Stegostoma tigrinum: one gene and its partner. The protein of the gene in region 2 interacts with the protein of the main gene of each other region in a pairwise test. Links are inferred from orthologs where the notes say so. Each region holds a gene or a part of one and is shown on either strand. Other genes may lie near its edges. The genes, in order: pre-mRNA splicing regulator USH1G-like and ush1c.

Evidence for each region.
Region 1: the proteins of ush1c (region 2) and pre-mRNA splicing regulator USH1G-like interact in binary tests that used the Homo sapiens proteins (3 or more experiments, as listed by UniProt). The link is inferred for Stegostoma tigrinum from reciprocal best matches to the Homo sapiens genes USH1C and USH1G.

What each region holds. Positions count from the first base shown.
Region 1 is NC_081375.1:53,410,913-53,420,741, forward strand, and holds the start of pre-mRNA splicing regulator USH1G-like, read right to left. Parts: upstream 4,069-9,829; coding exon 3,905-4,068; intron 1-3,904. UniProt on the Homo sapiens protein: Plays a role in pre-mRNA splicing by regulating the release and transfer of U4/U6.U5 tri-small nuclear ribonucleoprotein (tri-snRNP) complexes from their assembly site in Cajal bodies to nuclear speckles, thereby contributing to the assembly of the pre-catalytic spliceosome on target pre-mRNAs.
Region 2 is NC_081370.1:23,144,759-23,155,136, reverse strand, and holds the start of ush1c (harmonin), read right to left. Parts: upstream 4,806-10,378; 5' UTR 4,723-4,805; coding exon 4,687-4,722; intron 4,448-4,686; exon of another isoform or gene 4,340-4,447; intron 1-4,339. UniProt on the Homo sapiens protein: Anchoring/scaffolding protein that is a part of the functional network formed by USH1C, USH1G, CDH23 and MYO7A that mediates mechanotransduction in cochlear hair cells. Required for normal development and maintenance of cochlear hair cell bundles.

The DNA of each region.
Region 1 (9,829 bases), on a different chromosome or scaffold from region 2:
CAGGCACTCACTGTCCCTCTCTCTGGGAGAAAGCAGACTAAAGAGCCCGGGATCCTGTACAGAGCAGGATCCCAGGACTGAGCTGACCGTTGAATGGCTAAGGGACTATGACCTCCCCAAGACTCAAGAGGGACTAGGGACAGGGAAATCAATTTTGCACCAGCTCCGCTCTTTCTGTAGCTGTTTCTCTTCCAAACTCTGGATTTGCCACATGGCAGAGACAATTTTGGTAAAAGATCCTCCTTTGTGCACGGCAAGACTCCACAGATATCAAACAAAGCCTGAGTGAGGTAAACACATGCTTTTGCCAACACAAAGCGAGGGTCATCTGCAGTGATAGATAGTGTTTACCCTTCCCCTCCACTCAGCACCTCCTCACCTCTCCCATTGCCCTTCTCAAAACGGCAGGGGTAGAGTTGGAGGCAAGTGGCAGCTGCTTTCTAGGCCCTTGCCCTTCAGAGGTGCACGCAGGCAAGCTATTGGACCATGGAAGGCATCACAGCTGAGCCTGACACTGTCCTCAGCATCTCTCTAAGGTGAAGGGACAGGAAGCTTCAGCAATTACAAACGTGAATGGGTTTGAAAATGTTTTGTGAAGACAATCAAACATTTCAGGGCACAAGGGATGGCAAAGGGGTGGATTCAGAGACTGGGGGTGAACTGCACTTATAGAGTCATAGAGTCATACAGCATGGAACAGAGCCTTCGGTCCAACTCGTCCACGCCGACCAAGCTTCCCAAACGAAACCAATCTGTTTACCAGTTCTGAGGAAGGGTCACCACACCCAAAACATTGACTCTGGCTTTCTCTTCACAGCTGCTGCCAGACCTGCTCAGCTTTTCCAGCAACTTCTGTTTTTGTAAACTACTCTCACGTGCCTACATTTGGCCCATATCCCTCTAAACCTTTCCTATTCATGAGCCTGTCCAAATGTCTTTTGAATGTTGTAATTGTACCAGCCTCTACCACTTCCTCTGGCAGTTCATTTCATACACACACCACCCTCTGTGTGAAAAAGTTGCCCCTCAGGTCCCTTTTAAATCTTTCTCCTCTGATTTTAAAAATATGCCCGCTCATTTTGAACTCACTCAAATGGAAAAGACCTTTGCTATTCACCTTATCTATGCCCCTCATTATTTTATAGACCTCTATGAGTCAACCTCATAGGCTCCAGAGAAAAAAGTCCCAGCCTAAGCAACCAATCCTTATAACTCAAACTCTCCAGCTCCAACAACATCCCGGTTAATCTTTTCTGAACCCTCTCCAATTTAATAACATCCTTCCTCTAACATGCCAACTAGAACTGTACTCAGTACTCCAAAAGTGGCCTCACCAATATTCTGTACAGCTGCAACATGACGTCTCAACTCTGTATTCAATGATCTGAGCAACGAAGGCAAGTGTGCTGAACGCATTCTTAACCATCCTGTCTACCTGTGATGCAACTTTCAAAAGAATTATGTACCTGAACCCCTAGTTCTCTCTGTTTGACAACACTGCCCAAGGCCCTACCATTAATTGTTTAAGTCCTGCCCTCGTTTCTTTTACCAAAATGCAACACCTCGCATTTATCCAAATTAAACTCCATCTGCCATTCCTGTGTCCATTCGCCCCACTGATCAAGAAATCTTAGATATCCTTCTTCAATGATGACTGTACCACCAAACTTGGTGTCATCTGCAAACTTACTAACCACGCTTCCTATATTCTCATTCAAATCATTTAAATGAATGACAAACAAAAGTGGACCCAGGACAGATCCTTGTAGAACACAGCTGGTCGCAGGCCTCCAGTCTGGAAAACAACCCTTCACCAGCACCCCCTATCTCCTACCATCAAGCCAATTTTGTGTCCAGGTGGCAAATTCGCTCGGAATCCCATGTGATCTAACTTTACTAATCAGTCTACCATGCAGAACCTTGTCAAAGGCTTCAGTAAAGTCCACGTAGACAACGCTCTGCCCTCATCAATCTTTTTGGTTACACCTTCAAAAAACTCAATCAAGTTAGTGAGGCATGATTTCCGACATGCAAAGCTATGCTGGCTATCCCTAATCATTCCTTGCCTTCCCAAATACTTGTAAGTCCTGTCTTTCAGAACTTCCTCCAACAGCTTACCCGCCACCAATGTCAGACTCACTGGTTTATAGTTCCCAGGCTTCTCCTTGCAGCCTTTCCTAAATAAGGCACAACATTAGCCTCCCTCCTGTCCTCTGGCACCTCACCGATGGCTGTAGAGAATACATACATATTTGTTACCGGGCCGCAATTTCTTCCCTAACTTTCCACAAGTTCCCTGGGGTACACTTGATCAGGTCACGGACATTTATCCACCTTTATGTTTTTAAGACCTCCAGCACCTCCTCTTCTGTCATGCGGACTGTTCACACGACATCAGTATTTATTTCCCCGAGTTCCCTCGCCTCTTCACAGGCACAACATCGGTTTAGTAACTCTCCTATCTCCTGTGGTTCCACATATACACGACCTCATTGATCTTTAAGGGTCACTATTCTCTCCTTACTTACTCTTTACTCTTAATACACTTGTAGAATCTCTTTGGATTATGTTTAACCTTATTTGCCAAGATAGCCCCTTTTTATCCTTTTCATTTCCCTCTTAAGAATGCCCCTACAGCCCTAATACCCTACAGGGGAGTTACTTAAAGATTCATACAGTTGTTCTCCTTAGAGGCAAGAAGGTGTTGTAGATCTGACGGAGGTACTCAGTAACGGGTGGGGGAGTGGGGGAGAGGGGAGAGGTTTGATGGAGTGGATGAGGAGCAATTATCTCCATAGGCTGCTGGGGCAGTGACCAGATGCTCAAAGGTTGAAGAAGATCAACTGAACTGTCAGAGGTGAGATGGGGAAGAGTTTGGTTAGGATCCAAAATACGCTCAAAGTAGAATAGCAGCTGGGGGAGGTGCTGGCCTAGTGGCGTCGTCAGTAGACCTTTTAATCCAGAGACTCTGAGGGCCTAGGCTCAAACCCTGCCACAGCAGATGGCAGAATTTGAATTCAATGATAATCTGGAATTAAGAATCTAATGATATCCATGAATCCGTTGTTGACTGTGGGTAAAACCCAGGTGAGTCCCTAATGCCCTTTAGGGAAAGAAAATGCCACCCTTACTCAGTCTGGCCTACATCCGACTCCAGGCCCACAGCAATTACCTGAGCAATGGGCAATAAATGCTGGTGTGGGTATTTTGACATGGGAATTGGATGAATAAGTAGAAAGACTTGGATTTATACAACGCTGATTGTACAACCTATGAAGTTCTGTGGATTTGTTATTCTGCCTTTAGCTCTCCTGATTAAAGTCTCTGTTACCAAGTAGGAAATGTGGCAGCTAGATGGCATGCAGCAAGATCCCACACTCAGCCATGCTATAACAGTTAGACAATGGGTTCTTTGGGCTGTATATTAAGGGATAGATAATTGACAAGTTACAAGGCATAATTCTCCCTCCCTTCTACAAAGCCCTAACAGAGCCTTCTCAACATCTCCCAGGGCAAGGCCTTTTCTTTTACTGATGGGAAGGGGAGCCCCTCTGATAGTGCAGCACTCTGTTGGAAATATGTGCAGTGGGACATGAGGCCCAGGGGCCTGTGTGTCCAAGAGTGCTAGCCACTAAACCACCTGGAACACAGGAAACAAAACAAAAACCCTCCGGGGATAAAAAAAAAGCACATCCTTTTCAGCAAATGATGTATTTTCAGAATACGATTACTGACGGAAGCACAGGGAGAATGGGACTAATTGCCTAGACCTTGGAAAAAGCTGGCACAATCACAGTGGGCCGAGCGGTCTCGTTACGTGTTGTAGGATGCTTTGAATCAGTGGGAGATTAAAAAATGCCCCAGGGACAGGGTTTGGAGCCAGAGGTCCCACAGAGTGACCTACCCTCTGCTGATGATCAGCCTGACGGCCTCCAGGTTGCCATGGTAAACCGCCCAGAGAGTGGGAGTCATGCCATCCTCATCGGGGGAGTTCAGGTCCTTCTTGGTTGCTTCCTTCAGCAGATCCAGGTAACCATCCCGAGCAGCCTTGTGATATCTGTCACTCATTGTGTTGACTGCAAGTCCCCAGGGGGCATCAAGAGCCTGAGAACAAACAGCCCCATGGAGAGGGCGAGCTCATTGGCATCATCTCTTGGAATTGGCACAGCACACTGTTGCTCAGTGCGGGAGAGCTGGGCACCCAGGAGCTCAAGTGTTGGAGAGCTGGCGCCTAGGGAGCAGGACACACTGCCTCTCCTACCTCACTGAGCTGGTAATCTGAGAACTGAAACAGCAGCTCGGTGAAAGATACAGAGAGCCAGCCCACAAAACTATCAGGTCCTAGTGCTCCCACCCCTCACCTCCACCACCATGTTAGAATCTAATCATCCCTGGAAACAGATTCTTTCTGGGAATTGTGGTTTACTGTTTGAACTGAAATCAAGAAGGTAACTCTCCTTCCAAACATTCTTTTAGCATGAGTTCATTGGCATTTAATGTGCACTGACCACAATGCACACTGTCAAGATTTTTCTGACGTCACCACTGTCTTCAAGGAGATTTACTCTGTATCTAACCCCATGCTGTCCCGGCCCTGGGAGTGTTTGATGCGAACAGCGTAGAGTGAGTTTTACTCTATATCTAACCCTGGTGACTCTGTCCTGAGATATTTGGTAGGGAGACAGGGTAGAGAAAGCTTTATTCAGTATTTAACACCGTGCTGTCCCTGTCCTGGAGGTATTTGATGTGACCAGTGTAGAGGAGGCTTTACTCTTTTTCTAACCCTGTGCTGTCCCTGTCCTGGAGGTGTTTGATGTGAACAGTATAGGGGAGGCTTTACTCTTTTTCTAACCCCGTGCTGTCCCTGTCCTGGGAGCATTTGATAGGGAAAGTGTAGAGGGAGCTTTACTCTGTATCTAACCCTGTGCTGTCCCTGTCCCGGGAGTGTTTGATGGGGAGCAGTGTAGAGGGAGCTTTAGTTCACATCTAATCCCTGCTTTTAGTTTAAGTTTAAAACAGTAGATGGAGCTTTACTCTGTATCTAACCCTGTGCCGTACCTGTCCTACATAGAATATAGAACAGTATAGCACAGGAATAGGTTCTTTGACCTGACCCTGATGCCATTCTAACTAGTCCCGCTGCCTGCACATTGGCTGTATCCCTCTAATCTCTTTGCATGTTCATGTATCTGTCAAAATATCTCTTAAACATTGCTATCCTACCTGCTCCGACCACCTCCACGAGCAGCGCATTCCAGGCACCCTTTGTACCAAATCCCAAGCCATCAGCTCTGTGCAAAAAACATACCTCACACAACTCCTTCAAATTTTCCTCCTCTCCCCTTAAACTTATGCCCCTTAGTAATTGACATTTCCACTCTGGGAAAAAAGAGTCTGACCATCAGCCTTTGCATGCCTCTGATAGCTTTATGTGATTCTACCTGTCTCCCCTGAGCCTCCGACACTGTAGCCAAAGCAACCCAGGTTTGTGTAACGTTTCCTTGTAGCCCATACACTGCAATCCAGGCAACGTCTTGGTAAACCTCGTTCACATCCTCTCCAAAGCCTCCACTTCCTTCCTATAGTCTGGTGGCCAGAACTTATTTGTTTTTAAATAGTTATGGAAAAGGATAAGCCTTGCTTCAAAGTTAGACTAAGGCAAATTTTCATGGTTATGAAACAAGAGCTTTTAAAAGTTGATTAGGCAAAGGAATGATCAACAAGTGGGAGACTTTTCAAAAGAAGTGTGTTAATCAGAGTTCAAGGTAACAAGGTGTGGAGCTGGATGAACACAACAGGCCAAGCAGCATCAGAGGAGCAGGAAGGCTGACGTTTCAGGCCTGGGCCCTTCAGACAGATTATGCTTCTGTTAGTGAAAAGGTTCTACAAATACATTAACAGCAAGAAAGCAACCAGAGAGAGAGTAGGACTCCTTAAAGATCAAATGGTCATCTTTGTGTTGAACCTCAGGAGACCGGAGAGGTAGTAAATAAATGTTTCAAATCTGTTTTTTATTGTGGAGAAAGAAATGGAGGCTAGAGAACTCAGGGAAAAAAATACTGATGTCTTGAAAAACAGTTCACTTGACAGAAGAGGAAGTGCTGGTGGTCTTTGAAAATATAAGGGTGGATAAATCTCCGGGACCTGATCAGGAGTATGCCAGGGCTTTGTGGGAAGTTAGGAAGGAAATTGCAGGGTACCTTGCAGAAATATTTGCATTATCTATAACAACGAATAAATGGAGAGTGGCTCATTTTGTGCGTTTATTTAAGAAAGGCTGTAAGGAGAAGCTTGGGAGCTATGGACCGGTTAGCCAGACATCAGTGATGGGTAAACTGTTGGAGGTGATTCTGAAAGATAGGATTATCATGCATTTGGGGAGGCAAGGAATGATTACATAGAGTCAGCATGGTTTTGTGTGAGGGAAATGTTGTCTCTCAAACTTGATTGAGTTTTTTGAGGAAGTAACCGAGAAGATTGATGAGAACAGTGCATTAGACATTGTTTACTTGGACTTAAGTAAATGGTTCCGCATGGTAGACTAATTAGTAAAGTTAGATCAAATGGGATTCAGGGCGAGCTTGCCAATTGGATACAAAACTGGACCGACATTAGGAGACAGAGTTGGTGATAGAGGGTTGTTTTCCTTCGGTTCGTGACCGAGCCATCTAGAGCCTGATGGACAATGCACTTGGACACCTGGGACACCTCGCGTTCCCTTGAGGCAGCACAGGCATGCGGTGGGTGTCTGGATGAACTGACCCCTGTCCATTTGGAACTCAACACTGGCACTGCACCGTGGACCCTCTCGTGGCATCATGCCCAACAATCTGAGCCATCTCAGGGACATCCTCCCAGTGCCCTTTTGGAAAGAATGGAGACGTTGATGTTGCACACTCTCCACTGCTGTGCCTTTACCCACTGCCCAGATATGCATTTGCATAATCTGTTACCCTCCAGCAGCAGAGATCCACAGTGGAGGGCCCTCTATGAATGGCTCCTCTCCTGTTACATCTGGGGGCCTGGGATGGAGGGTGCTGCACACGGTGGCCCCATGCCACCGGTGAAAGAGTAAGTTTACCAGGCGCCAGACCATGTGCACGTTCGGCGTGCCTGAAGAAGATGGCTCTCCACTTCTGTGTCAAGTCTGTCCAGCTGCAGCCCCTTTTTAGGTTTTTTGCAGGGACATGCTGTTACAATTTTGGCTGCATGTCAGCACCACGTCCCTGATCTATATGTACCCGGTGCAGGTAGGGATGGACATGTCTATGAGCCTTCTCCTGGGTCTTTGCTCCTGGGCCTGGCTAAGATGGGCATGAACAGGACCGGGCAGGGGTCCAAAGAGGGGCCCATCATTCCTGACTCTCTGCTCATCTTCAGCAGTTAACTCTGTGCTCAGTTGTCCCTGGAGAGGGAGCAGGTGGTGCACACTGACATGTTTGAGGCCGTTTGAGAATGCTGGGCGCTGCGAGAGCTGGAGTGCATTATCAACCTGGATAATGATTCTCTGATTTAGTTAATTTTCTCCAAAATATAAGTTTCCGTTTTGTCTTTTAAGCTTGCATTTGGTTTTGGTTTGGTGTCCCAGGAAGAGGTCTGTCATACTTCCCCTTTGTTCCGATTCTAGACCCTGGAAGATCCAAGGGGCTGTTATTTTAGCCCCGTACTGCCCCTGTATCAGATGCACTTGATGGGGATCAGTGTGATCAGTGCAAGGGACATTCCTCTCAATTTTAAACCATTGTCATCCCTGTCTCATGGGGGTTCAGAGGGGACGGGGCAGAGGGGGTTCATTTATTCAGTGTAGAGCTGGATGAACACAGCAGGCCAAGCAGCATCTTAGGAGCAGGAAAGCTGATGTTTCGGGCCTAGACTCTTCATCAGATTTTTCTGAAGAAGGGTCTAGGCCCGAAACATCAGCTTTCCTGCTTCTCTGATGCCGCTTGGCCTGCTGTGTTCATCCAGCTCCACACCTTGTGATCTCAGATCCTCCAGCATCTGCAGTTCCCACAACCTCTGAAACTCATTTATTTAGTTGTTGATTTATTTGTTTAATTATTTGTTTTCTTTGATTTTTTCTTGGGTTTATTTTTATTTTGGCCCCCTCTGGTCACTGCTCAAAAGAGATTGGTGGGGACGGAGTCAAGGGAGAACTAGTTTTGTTTGTTTTTTTTTAGTTTTTGGTTTCCCTAGAGTGATAGAGCCTTTAGAGATAATGGGAACTGCAGATGTTGGACAATCCAAGACAACAAAGTGTGAAGCTGGATGAACACAGCAGGCCCAGCAGCATCTCAGGAGCACAAAAGCTGATGTTTCGGGCCTAGACCCTTCATCAGAAAAGTTTTGTTTTTACAATGTCAAGGCAGCTTTATCTTCTGTTTTGAAACAGCAGAGGGGGCTTTGCCATATGTTTCACCCGGTCCCGGGAGTGTCTGACGGGGCTGGTGTCGGGAGTGGGGAGGGTCTTGGTTTTTTTTGTTTACACCTTTTGATAAAGAGAGTAGAAAGGCTTTTCTTCGAACTGGAGGCCTGTGACCAGCAGCATTCCACAGGGGTCAGTGCTGGGTCCATTTTTGTTTGCCGTATATATTTGGATGAGAATTTAGAAGGTAAGGCTAGTAAGTTTGCAGATGACACCAGAATTGGTGATGTAGTGGACAGTGAAGAATGTTATGTAAGATTGGAAAGGGATTTTGATCAATGGGCCAATGAGCTGCGGAGTGGCAGATGGAGTTTAATTTGTATAAATGCGAGGTATTGCATTTTGGTAAAACAAACTAGAACAGGGCTTATAAAATTAAAAGCAAGACCTTGGGTGGTGTTGTAGAACAGAGATCTAGGGGATTCAGGTACATAATTCTTTGAAATTTGAGCCACAGGTAGACAGGGTGGCGAAGAAGGCGTTTAGCATGCTTGCCTTCATTGTTCAGACCATTGATTATAGGAGTTAGAGTGTCATGTTGAGGTTGTACAGGACGCTTGGTGATGCCTCTTCTGGAGTACTGTGTGTTGTTCTGGTCGCCCTTTTACAGGGAGGATATTATTAAACTGGTGAGGGTTCAGAAAAGATTTACCAGGAGGTTGGCAGGAAGAGGCAGTTTGAGGTATAAAAATAAACTAGTAAGACTCGGACTTTTTTCACTGAAGCATAAGAGATGGAGGGGCAACCTTACTGAGGTTTGTAAAATCATGAGGGGCATAGATAAGGTGAATAACAAAGGTGTTTTGCCCTCAGGTAGGGAGTTCAAAACCAGGGGGCATATTTTTAAGGTGAGAGGAGAGAGATTTAGAAAGGACAGGGAGGGGGAACGTTTTTACACAGAGAGTGGCTCACGTGCAGCATGGGCTGCCAGTGGAAGTGGTAGATGAGAATATATTCACAATGGTTAAAAGGCATTTGGATAAGTACAAGAGTAGAAAAGGTTTGTATGGAGAGAGGCCTAATGCAGGCGAGTGGGACATGTTCAATTCAGGAATGTGCTTAAGAAGGCCTGGTTGGACCAAAGGGTCTGTTTCTATGCTGTATGTCTCTATAACTATAACTCTACTCCATATGTGACCTAACTAAAGCTTTATATAGCTGCAACACGACTTGTCAATTTTTGTACTCAACGCCCTGGCCAATGAAGGCAAGTATACCATATGCTTCATTTGCCACTGAAATAACTCCACTGAGGCCTGTATGCCATCACCAAGTCACCCTCTATTCACACATGAATAGATTTTGACTTCAGTCTCTTCAGAGTACCTGAATCTCTAACACACATCTCTATCCGTCAGCCAGGGCTCCCTGATTAGGCCAAATTAACAGCCCCAATCAGGGAACTCA
Region 2 (10,378 bases):
ATAGCTTTTTGATCTATTTCAACAAACTTCCATTAATTTATGAAGTTATTCCACTAGTTTGCTGACTTTGACTAGTTTTTCCAAGCCTGCCCACTTAATCTTCACTTCGAAGCTGAAATCTCTCAAATCAGTATAGCTGCCATTTATGCCATATTTTGTTCATGTTCTGGTGAGGACCAAGATGATCAGCAAGATTCACAACAATGTCAGCACCAAAACATGATAAGCGAAGCAGCAGCATGTTGCACACAGATATAACACAGAAATCAGGTTACATTTTGAATGTGTCACTGTACTCACTTTTCATGCCCCGATTAGGTCATTAGACCATCTTAGTCACTGAATCCAGGAGTTCATGTCTATGTTCTCACTGTTTACTTCCCAAGTAACCTCCAGCCATACCTTTCTGTTTTTGCTGGCACGCACATTCCTTTCATCATTTCTTCATAGAACAGTTACTCCCTTTGGGCACTTACAGGCATCAATATCATATGTAGTGAAGCATCACTGCAATTAGGCACGGATTTTGAAACACTGGAACCAAGAGCTATTAATATAAGGTAGACGCTAGTGAAATCAACAAAGAATTCATGTGAAGCTTCTTTATCTAGAGATTATCCAAGGATCATCCTCTGGACTCAGTTTGTTATGGTCTGCTATTTTTAAGGTTAAAATCTCTAATTTTTTTACTATAGTCCTTTAGTATAGTCATCGAGAGGGACAGGAACAGACAATATGGGTAAGTACTTAATTAGCGGAGGGGGAATTATTATGCTATTAGGCAAGAACTGCAGAGCATAAATTGGGAACAGATGGTTTCAGGGAAATGCACAACAGAAATGTGGAGGTTGTTTAGGGAGCACTTGCTACAATTCTGGATAGGCTTGTCCCACTGAGGCAAGGAAGTGATGGTAAGGTGAAGGAACCTTTGATGACAAGACATGTGGAACATCTAGTCAAGAAGAAGAAGGAAGCTTACTTAAGGTTGAGGAAGCAAGGATTGGATAGGGCTCTAGAGGTAGCCAGGTAGTTTCAGGAAGTCTGAAGAATGGACTTAGAAGAGGGTTTGAAAAAGACTCCATGTGTAGAATTAAGGAAGACCCCAAGGTGTCTTGGGGTCTTCCTTAATCCTACCCATGGAGGCATTTTCATTTCTAGCATGTACTCCTTCTTAACATCAACCTATTCCAGCAAAGTATTCAAGCAAATTATTCATTAAGGGCCTCTCCAACCTCCTCTGACTCCTTCTTGAGGAATAAGAGGATAGCCAGAGTTGGGGTAGGGCCAATCAAGGACAGTGGAGGGAATTTCTGTGTGGAGTCAGAGGAGGTTGGGGAGGTCATTAATGAATACTTTGTTTCAGTATTCACCAGTGAGAGGGACCTCGATGTTTGTGAGGACAGCATGAAACAGGCTGCTATGATGAAATAGGTTGATGTTAGGAAGGAGAACATGCTAGAAATTTAAAAAAAACATGAGGATAGATAAGACCCCTGGGCCAGACAGAATATACCAAAGGTTCCTACGAAATGCAAGGGAAGAGATTACTACGCCTTTGGTGATGATCTTTGTGTCCTCACTGTCCACTGGAGTAGTACCAATGATTTGGAGGGTGGCAAATGTTCAAGAAAGAGAATAGGAATAATCCTGGGAATTACACACCAGACAGTCTTACTTCTGTGGTGGGCAAATTATTGGAGAGGATTCTGAGAGATAGTATTTATGATTATTTGGAAAATCAGAGTTTGATTATGAATGATGAGGAAGTGGAAGGGTGGGTTAGTAAGTTTCCTGATGACACGAAGGTTGGTGGAGTTGTGCATAATGTAGGTTGCAATGGGACATTGAAAGGATGTAGAGCTGGGCAAAGAAATGGCAGACGGAATTCAAACTGGAAAAGTGTGAAGTGATTCGGTTTGGAAGGTCAAATTTGAATGCAGAATACAGGGTTAATGGCAGGATTCTTGATAATGGAGAGGAACAGAGGGATCTTGGGGTCCATGTCCATAGATCCCTCAAATTTGCCACCCAAGTTGAAAGGGTTATAAAGAAGGTATATGATGTGTTGGCGTTTCTTGGCAGGGGAATTGAGTTTAAGAGCCGTCAGGTTATGCTGCAGCTCTATAAAACTCTGGTTAGACCAAACTTGGAATGTTGTGTTCAGTTCTGGTCACCTCATCGTAGGATGGATGTGGAAGCTTTAGAGACAGTGCAGAGGAGATTTACCAGTATGCTACCTGAACTGGAGGCTAGGTCTTATGATGAAAGGTTGAGGGAGCTTGGGCTTTTCTCATTGGAGTGAAGAAGGATGAGAGGTGACTTGATAGAGGTGTACAGGATGATGAGAGGCATAGATAGAGTGGATAGCCAGAGACTTTTTCCCAGGGTGGAAATGAATATTACGAGGGGGCGTAATTTTAAGGAGATTTGAGGAACGTATAGGGGAGATGTCAGAGGTGGGTTCTTTACACAGAGTGCTGGGTGCGAAGAATGTGCTGCTGGCGGTAGTAGTGGAGCCAGATACATTTGGGACATTTAAGCGACTCTTGGATAGACACATGGATGATAGTAAAATAAAGGGCATGCAGGGTAGTTTGATCTTAGAGGAGGATAACAGGTTGGCACAACATCGTGGACTGAAGAGCCTGTACTGTGCTGTATTGTTCTATGCTCCAATGTTTATCACAGTTTGCACACTTCACTGTATTCTGAGTGATTACATGGCAGCTTCATAATTTTTAAATCCTATTCCATGATATTGCTATTTCAGGGCGATATTCAAAGGTTATGCAAAAGTGAGTTGCAGAATGACAAAGTTAGCAGCTCTTATTTCATGGTCAGCAATTAAACCACAATGTTCACCACTGAACTGCGAGAAAGATGACCACGAAGAACTAACAATCTGTGTTAGTAAAATGAACCACATGGTAAGATATCAAACTATAAAGATTAGAAAAAAAATTGCTGTGCAATCACTGTACAGAATTTGCTGATCTATGTTTGAAGCATAGGAGTTGGACAATGAACCTCAATAGAGTGAATACTCACAGGGTGATACATCACATGAAGTGCACAAATGTCAATGTCAAGTGAAAGCAAATTTGATACCAATGTCATACCTTTTCTATAACAGACAGGTTTTTCAATCAGTCACTATTTAGTTGGTACTTAATGAATGGTTAAGTTAGCAAGGAGCTGAGAAGGTGATGGCAGGAATGGAACCCACGTAAATTTTAAAACTTGCTGCAATATAATTTGCAACATCTTTGGTTTCTTCAACATAATAAACATCCCAAGGTACTTCGTGGAAGCAAATTTTTTTAAAAAGCTGAAAAAGAGGGGAAAAAAGGCAGTTATGCTTGGTCAAAGAATTAGAAAACTCCTTAAGGAGTAAAGCAAGATTGGGAGATGCAGATATTTGGGTAGGAAATTCTGGAGAAAAGGGTGGAGGCAGATGAAGGCAGTTGTTGCTTTTTATATATTTTTGCCATACTTTCTTCCTGTTCACAGTCAAAGGGTTAGAACAAAATGCCAAGGACATTAAATAGTTTAGTGCTATTACATGAGTGTACTGCCTTTATGGTGTTACAAAACATTGTTTCTAACTCCGCTACCTCGACACACACACACTTGCAACAATAAAGAGTGGGAAATCTATTTGGTCTTCCCTCAATCAGGACGTGCTACTGGAATCTATTGGAATGCCCAGACCTTACTGTCTTGGCTGGGAAGTCCTCATTTATTACAGAGCCTGCAGCGGCATCAATGCTGAGATATGCCTTGTGCTCCATAACGCTTAGGTAATTATAGACGAGGCATCCATAATCACTCAAATATTAAAGCAACATTGAAAACTATATTTTTAAAAACACTCATTCAATTGACTTTATTGCAGGAACTGAACTGACCTAAACCCACTTGGTTGGAAATATGGATTCTGCCAGGAAAAAAAAACCTCTATTTATTGAGAACTGTATGATCGCCGCATTATACGGGGTTCAATGAAGATTGTTAGCTTCTTTGGAAATAGCATGAAGAGAAATAAAAACTAATTTACTATTAAGTTTGATTGCGACATCAGTAATACTCTTCATTTTATTGTATCGATTTTGTTATATAGAGTCTGGAAGGCAATGCCTTTGTTAAGGTACAACGTTCCCAATATACGTTAGAGTCCAGGCGCCTTAACATGTGTCTAGATGCAAAATACTGGATTTCTTCGCGCAGTTGTAAATAGTTTTCATTACGATATCGCATTTCAATGGGTTCACTGTGTTCAATCTACTGCCAAGAGCTTATGGAAGTATGTGTTCCCCTGCTCCTCTGACGGCGCTCGACTCCCAGGGTTGAGTGAGATCGTTTCCTGGGCAGAGCGATTGCTCAGAACAGGGGAAACATTGCGGAAACTTTATCACAAATATCAACATTTAAAGGCGTTTTACTCCAGGTACACCGTTTGAACACTACGAAAACAGAGCTGAATGGAAATAGACATTTTTTCGGGAAACTAACAAATGCCCTTCCCCCACTTGTTATTGATACAGCTGGGTCCATAGTCTCTCATAACCTAAGCTTACGAACTCTTCTTTGAGCACAGCAACAACGTCCTAACGCTAACAGAAATACGTTCAAGATAAGTGAAAAGCTGCGTAGTTTTTAAATTTTGCAACTTCCCTCGCTCCCTACCTTACGTCTGAATTCTCTGGCCACCTTTTTCTCCATTCTGGCAGGCTGGATGCGATGGGAACCAGGAATGACCGGCCCCTTTTCCTCTCAACCCTTTGGGTGTGGAGAGCTTGCAGTTAATGACAGCAGACAGGGCGAGATAAGAAAACAAACTTTAAACATGATTTGTGTCTCTGTGAAGTATCACCGTTCGCATGTATGCTTCTGCTGTTACCGCATTGCTTTACTTTAAGTTGTTAAAATGATCGCGTTCATTTATAAAGCGGTTTGTTCAGTTATTTTTTAAAGACCCATCTTGCGCAGGCAAACACAATCCAAATAAATCTCATGTATATAATACCGAGCTTATGTTTTAAGGTGTCTTAATAGTTTTTTTCTGTGTTTATTTCAAGGTTCCTTGAGCAAAACACCGTGGACTTGCTTTAAAAGAAAGAACATTTGTTTAATCACTTTGTTTAGAGACGTTATGACACACCTCCACCAATTCAGAGATTTGAACCTAAATTTTCTGGCCCAGAGCTAGGAAGACCCCGAGCGTGCTTCCGGCAAATGTTACGACGCATGTCGGTAGGTGGAACTTGCATTTACGTCCTTTGGCCGAGATATAGCGATACAATTTCCAGTATTTTGCGTGCTGGGATTTGAACATAGTCCGCACAGGTTTAGCGTGGAGCTCTGAATTGTTCAGCTACTGACATTACCTCTACAACACCTGCTCCCCAAATTTTTCATCAACTACTTCAAATCTTATATAGCACACCTCATTGGCAGCTGGGACTTGAACCTAAACCTTCAAGTCCAGAGATAGGGACATTACCACTGACCTAAGAGATTTCAATCCATGGGGCTGCACATGACCATTAATTAATAGATGCAGGCAAGCAATGTGAGCGTTTTATTTATTTGATTTTCTTACTCTTCCTGTGGGGAGAAGGCTTGATTTCTGTTTTGGTACCTCCTGAAATCATTATATTTAAGATCAGAAACTTGGCATCAAATAGAATCACAAATTTATACTGCACCCTGTAGTGGCGCAGCTTTGTCTTTTTGAAGTTCACCAAGATTTAGCTTTGGTTTATCAAAATGTATAATACCTACTGCAAATGAGAATTAGCATAAATGCAGTGTTTTACAATGGTCTGAATTTTGCACAGTGCTGAAGCATAGATGCACTGGAGGTGCAATGATCTCCCTGGCTTTTTTTCTCTCTCACCCTGTACTTGATTCTTGTTTTCTGGGGAATCCTTCTATGCAGCTGCATCGAGATGTCATCAAGCTGTATGAACAGCCAAAGAATTCTCTAAATCAATGAAAAGCGCTTCCATAAAGTCACTGTTTTAAAAATTGACAAAAGCAAATTAAAGACTAGCATGTATGCATGGGGTGAAGCTACATACTGAAACATCACAAAAATATTTTTAAAGAATTATTCACAAAGCTTGGTTTTAAACAACTTAAGTTAATCATAAGAGAGACATTTTGTATCACTCCACAAATACAAAAATGCTTCTTCAGGGCCAGGATAATAAAATGTGAGGCTGGATGAACACAGCAGGCCAAGCAGGATCTCAGGAGCACAAAAGCTGACGTTTCGGGCCTAGACCCTTCTCTGATGAAGGGTCTAGGCCCGAAACGTCAGCTTTTGTGCTCCTGAGATGCTGCTTGGCCTGCTGTGTTCATCCAGCCTCACATTTTATTATCTTGGAATTCTCCAGCATCTGCAGTTCCCATTATCTCTTCAGGGCCAGATCTATTTTTGGATTGGGAAATTCTCACCACATCCACTTGGTTTGTTAATTGCTAGCTTTGCACGTGGGTTAGTGTCCACACATCAGCTTGTGGCAGAACAGTGAGTGACAAGTCACAACTTCAGCATTTCCAAATAATATGACAGATTTCTAAATCCTGAAGTTTCGATCAGTTTGTGTGCGCTCCACAACCTTGTGTAAAAAATGGAGTGCCTTGGAAATCAGTGCTGAGGCCTCAAGTATTTGCAATCTTGATCAATGCCTTGGATAACTGGACTGAATACGTGGCAGCTAAACTTGCCGAGAGATAAGATAGGTGGGAAAGTACGTTGTAAAGAGAACATAAGGAGTCTAAAAATGTATACAAATAGGTAATGAGAGTGAGAAAAACTTTGGTAGATGGAGTGCAATGCAGAAAAATGTGAATTTGTCAAGTTTGGCAACAAGAATAATGAAGCAGCACATTAATTAACTGGGGAGATTTAAACACAGAACTGATCATGCAGAGGGATCTGGGTATCTCGGTACATACATCACAAAGTTATATGCAAGTACAGCATGTGATTAGGAAGACATACATAACAGAGTCATAGAGGCCTACAGCACAGAAAAAAAGGCCCTTCCACTAATTGAGTCTGAAACAGTCAAAAACAACTTCCTAACTGCTATACTCCCATTTTCCAGCACTGGACGCATATCCATAATAACCTTTATGTCACACACATCTAAATATTTCTTAAAAGTCATCTGTCCCTATCATCCTGACAGGCAATGTTGTTATTTGTCGAACGGTAATGGAATATAAAAGTAGGAACATTTTTCTAGTTGTACAGACCATTGGTGAGATCTCATCTGAAATACTATGTAGATTTGGACTCTTTATTTAAGAAAAGACATAATTTCATTAGAAGAAATTCAGAGAAAGTATGCCCATCTGATTCCTTGGATGATGGAGAGCTCAGGTGGTTTTGGGGTGAGGGTAGAAGAAAGGTAAAGAGGAAAAGTTGGACATGTATCTCCTGAGTTTAGAAGAGTGAGAAGCAATCTAATTGAAATGTATAAAGTGCTTGGGGATACTCAAGGCACAATTACCATCATGGGAGCATTTAGAATTAGCGGACAGAATTTAAAAATAAAATTATCTCCATTTAGAACATAGAACATTACAGCGCAGTATAGGCCCTTCGGCCCTTGATGTTATGCTGACCTGTTTATCCCCCAACTCTCAAGGTCTTCTGATTCTTGCTAGCTCCACATTTATTTTTGTCACTCAGATGGAGATGGAGATGGAGATTTTGTTTTGCCTAGACAGCAGGGTTATTAAGTATATGTAAAATTGAGTTGGATAGCTTCCTTACAGAATACTGAGCGGCCTGGGTGGAGTGGAAATGGTGAAGATGCTTTCACCAGTCGGAGAGACTAGAACCCAATGGCACAGCCTCAGTAAAGAGATGACCCTTTAGAACTGAGATGAGGAGGAATTTCTTCAGCCAAACGGTGGTTAGTCTATGGAACACATTGCTGTGGAAGCCATGTCATTGCATGTACTTAAGGCAGAGATAGATATGTTCTTGATTTGTAAGGGGGTCAAGTGTTATGGTGAGAAGACAATGGAATGGAATTGGGAAACCTAGCAGCCATGATTGAATGGTGGAGAAGACTCAATGGGCTGAATGGCCTAATTTTGTGACAATATCTTATGGTATCAATTAACAAGAAAGTGAAAAGATGTCATGGGTAGACAGGAAGGCAAAGTTAAGGTCAAATCAGATCAGTCGTGAACCTGTTGAATGGAGTGTTTTGTAGCAGCTGATATTAGTACCGGACTAGTCAGATCTCACATTGAAACCTGGTTTGATAGACACTACCCTTTCTCTAAACTGCAGAGTTCAGTTACATTCAGAAGAGTCTGCAAGTGCATTTTTATCACAAAGAGTTAAACATTTATTAGACAGGTAAAAATATGAACTACATTAAATGAGATGAAAAGGTTGGAAAGTTTCATTACAAACACCAGAAAAGTAATGACACTCACTATTCTTTTTAGCGCAGCAATATTTTTACAAAAGTCAAGTCCCATCAAAGGTTTACTACGATCTCCATTCTAAAGCTTCTTGCTCAGTCTGGCACAACTGCAACCTGTTTCCTTCTGGCAAACTCCTGCACATTCATTTAGTGTTTTTGTTTGGCTGGGATCTTCTTGGAGCAACTGAAACATTGTGCAAACCGAACTGACGATTACTTTAACATCATAGTCAAAATGTGAATTCCCTAAACTCAGTTTTTGGCAGTATTGAAGATTTCTTTCTGAAACTGTCCTGTTTTCACTCTCTGGTACACCCACACACTGATTTATGTTATGATTTTCTGTTTGCGCCCCCTCCCAGATACCAGTTACTACATAAGAGCACAGTATTTTATACCTCTTTTTGTTATTGCACTAAACAGCCAAGCTTCATCCCTTCCGTCATGGTGGTAAAACTTTACTAAACATCTGCGTGTAAAGGTAAATTTCCTGACCTCCTGATACCCAAGTCTGCAAAAGCAACTGTAGAATTAACCTAGGGCTAAGCAATAATTGCTGGCCTAGCCAGCAATGCTCACACCTTGTGAATGAATGAAAAAAAAGTACCACCGAAAAGTCCCATAACTGGGTCTATTACCATGACTTGGGAACTGTCTCAAAGTATTTTAAAGAATTAATGCAGCTTTACATTTTACTTTTTTGTTTTCCTGTCATTTTTTGTGAAGTTTTCTTTCTGCTCAATGGAATTATTGCCGAAGAACTAGTTCTGTATAAAATATAGAAGCCATTTCTGCACTCAAATTTAAATTGTTTTGATGAAAATAATTAAGTATAAAATTATTTACTTTTTCTACATAATTTCATTTTTGTATGAGTGGAAAAATGTATTATTACATTTGACCGTAAAACCATATAAATTTTATATGCCAATATCCTAACCACAAATAATGTACTGCACATCACCACCTAGTGGAAACAAAGTTCATAAAGCAACCATCTGAAGAAATAGTTACGTGAAATCTTTGTGATAGAGATATGCAATAGACTGCATTTTGCTACAGACTTGTAATAAACAATATGTATCAGAAAATTCACTAAAATACTCCCAGGGCTTCCAGCAAAATATCGTGGATAATTTTAACCCTGTCATTCTGGCAAAAACTGGGTATGAAAGCAGTTAATGTTATTATGCTTATTGTTAGAGTGACAGTTTGAAATTTTAACTTGTTTAGATTCTTTTAATTGTAAGAAAATTGGGTTCAATAATGATGTTGGATTTTTATTGCAACTTTAAATCAACACCCTGCATAGTAGCAAGAGTGAATTAAGTAGAGAAAAGATTCAGGACCAAAACATTCCAAAAAGGTGTATTTTATAATGGTCCAGAAACTTCAATGGTCAGATGATTTTTTAAAAATTTATTCATTTGTGGGATGTGGGGATCACTGGCTGGCCAGCATTTATTTCCCTTCCCTAGTTCCCCTTGAGAAGGTGGTGGTGAGCTGCCTCTTGAACCACTACAGTCCGCCTGCTGTGGGTTAACCTACAATTCCATGAGGGAGGGAATCCCAGGATTTGGACTCAGCAACAGATAAGGGGCAGTGATATATTTTCAAGTGAGGAAAATGAGTGGTTTGGAGGAGAATTTGCAGCTGGTAATGTTCCCATGTGTCTGTGCCATTGTCCTTCTAGATGGAAGTGTTTGAGGGTTTGGAGGCTGCTGTTTGAAGATCCTTGGTGAATTTCTGCAGTGCCCTTTGTAGATAGTGTTGCATGCTGCTACTGAGTGTTGGTCGTAGAGGGAATGGATGGTGTGGATGTAGTGCCAATCAAGTGAGCTGCTTTGTCCTGGACAGTGTCAAACTTTTTGAGTGTGGTTGGGGCTGTACTCATCCATACCAATGGGGAGTAATCCATC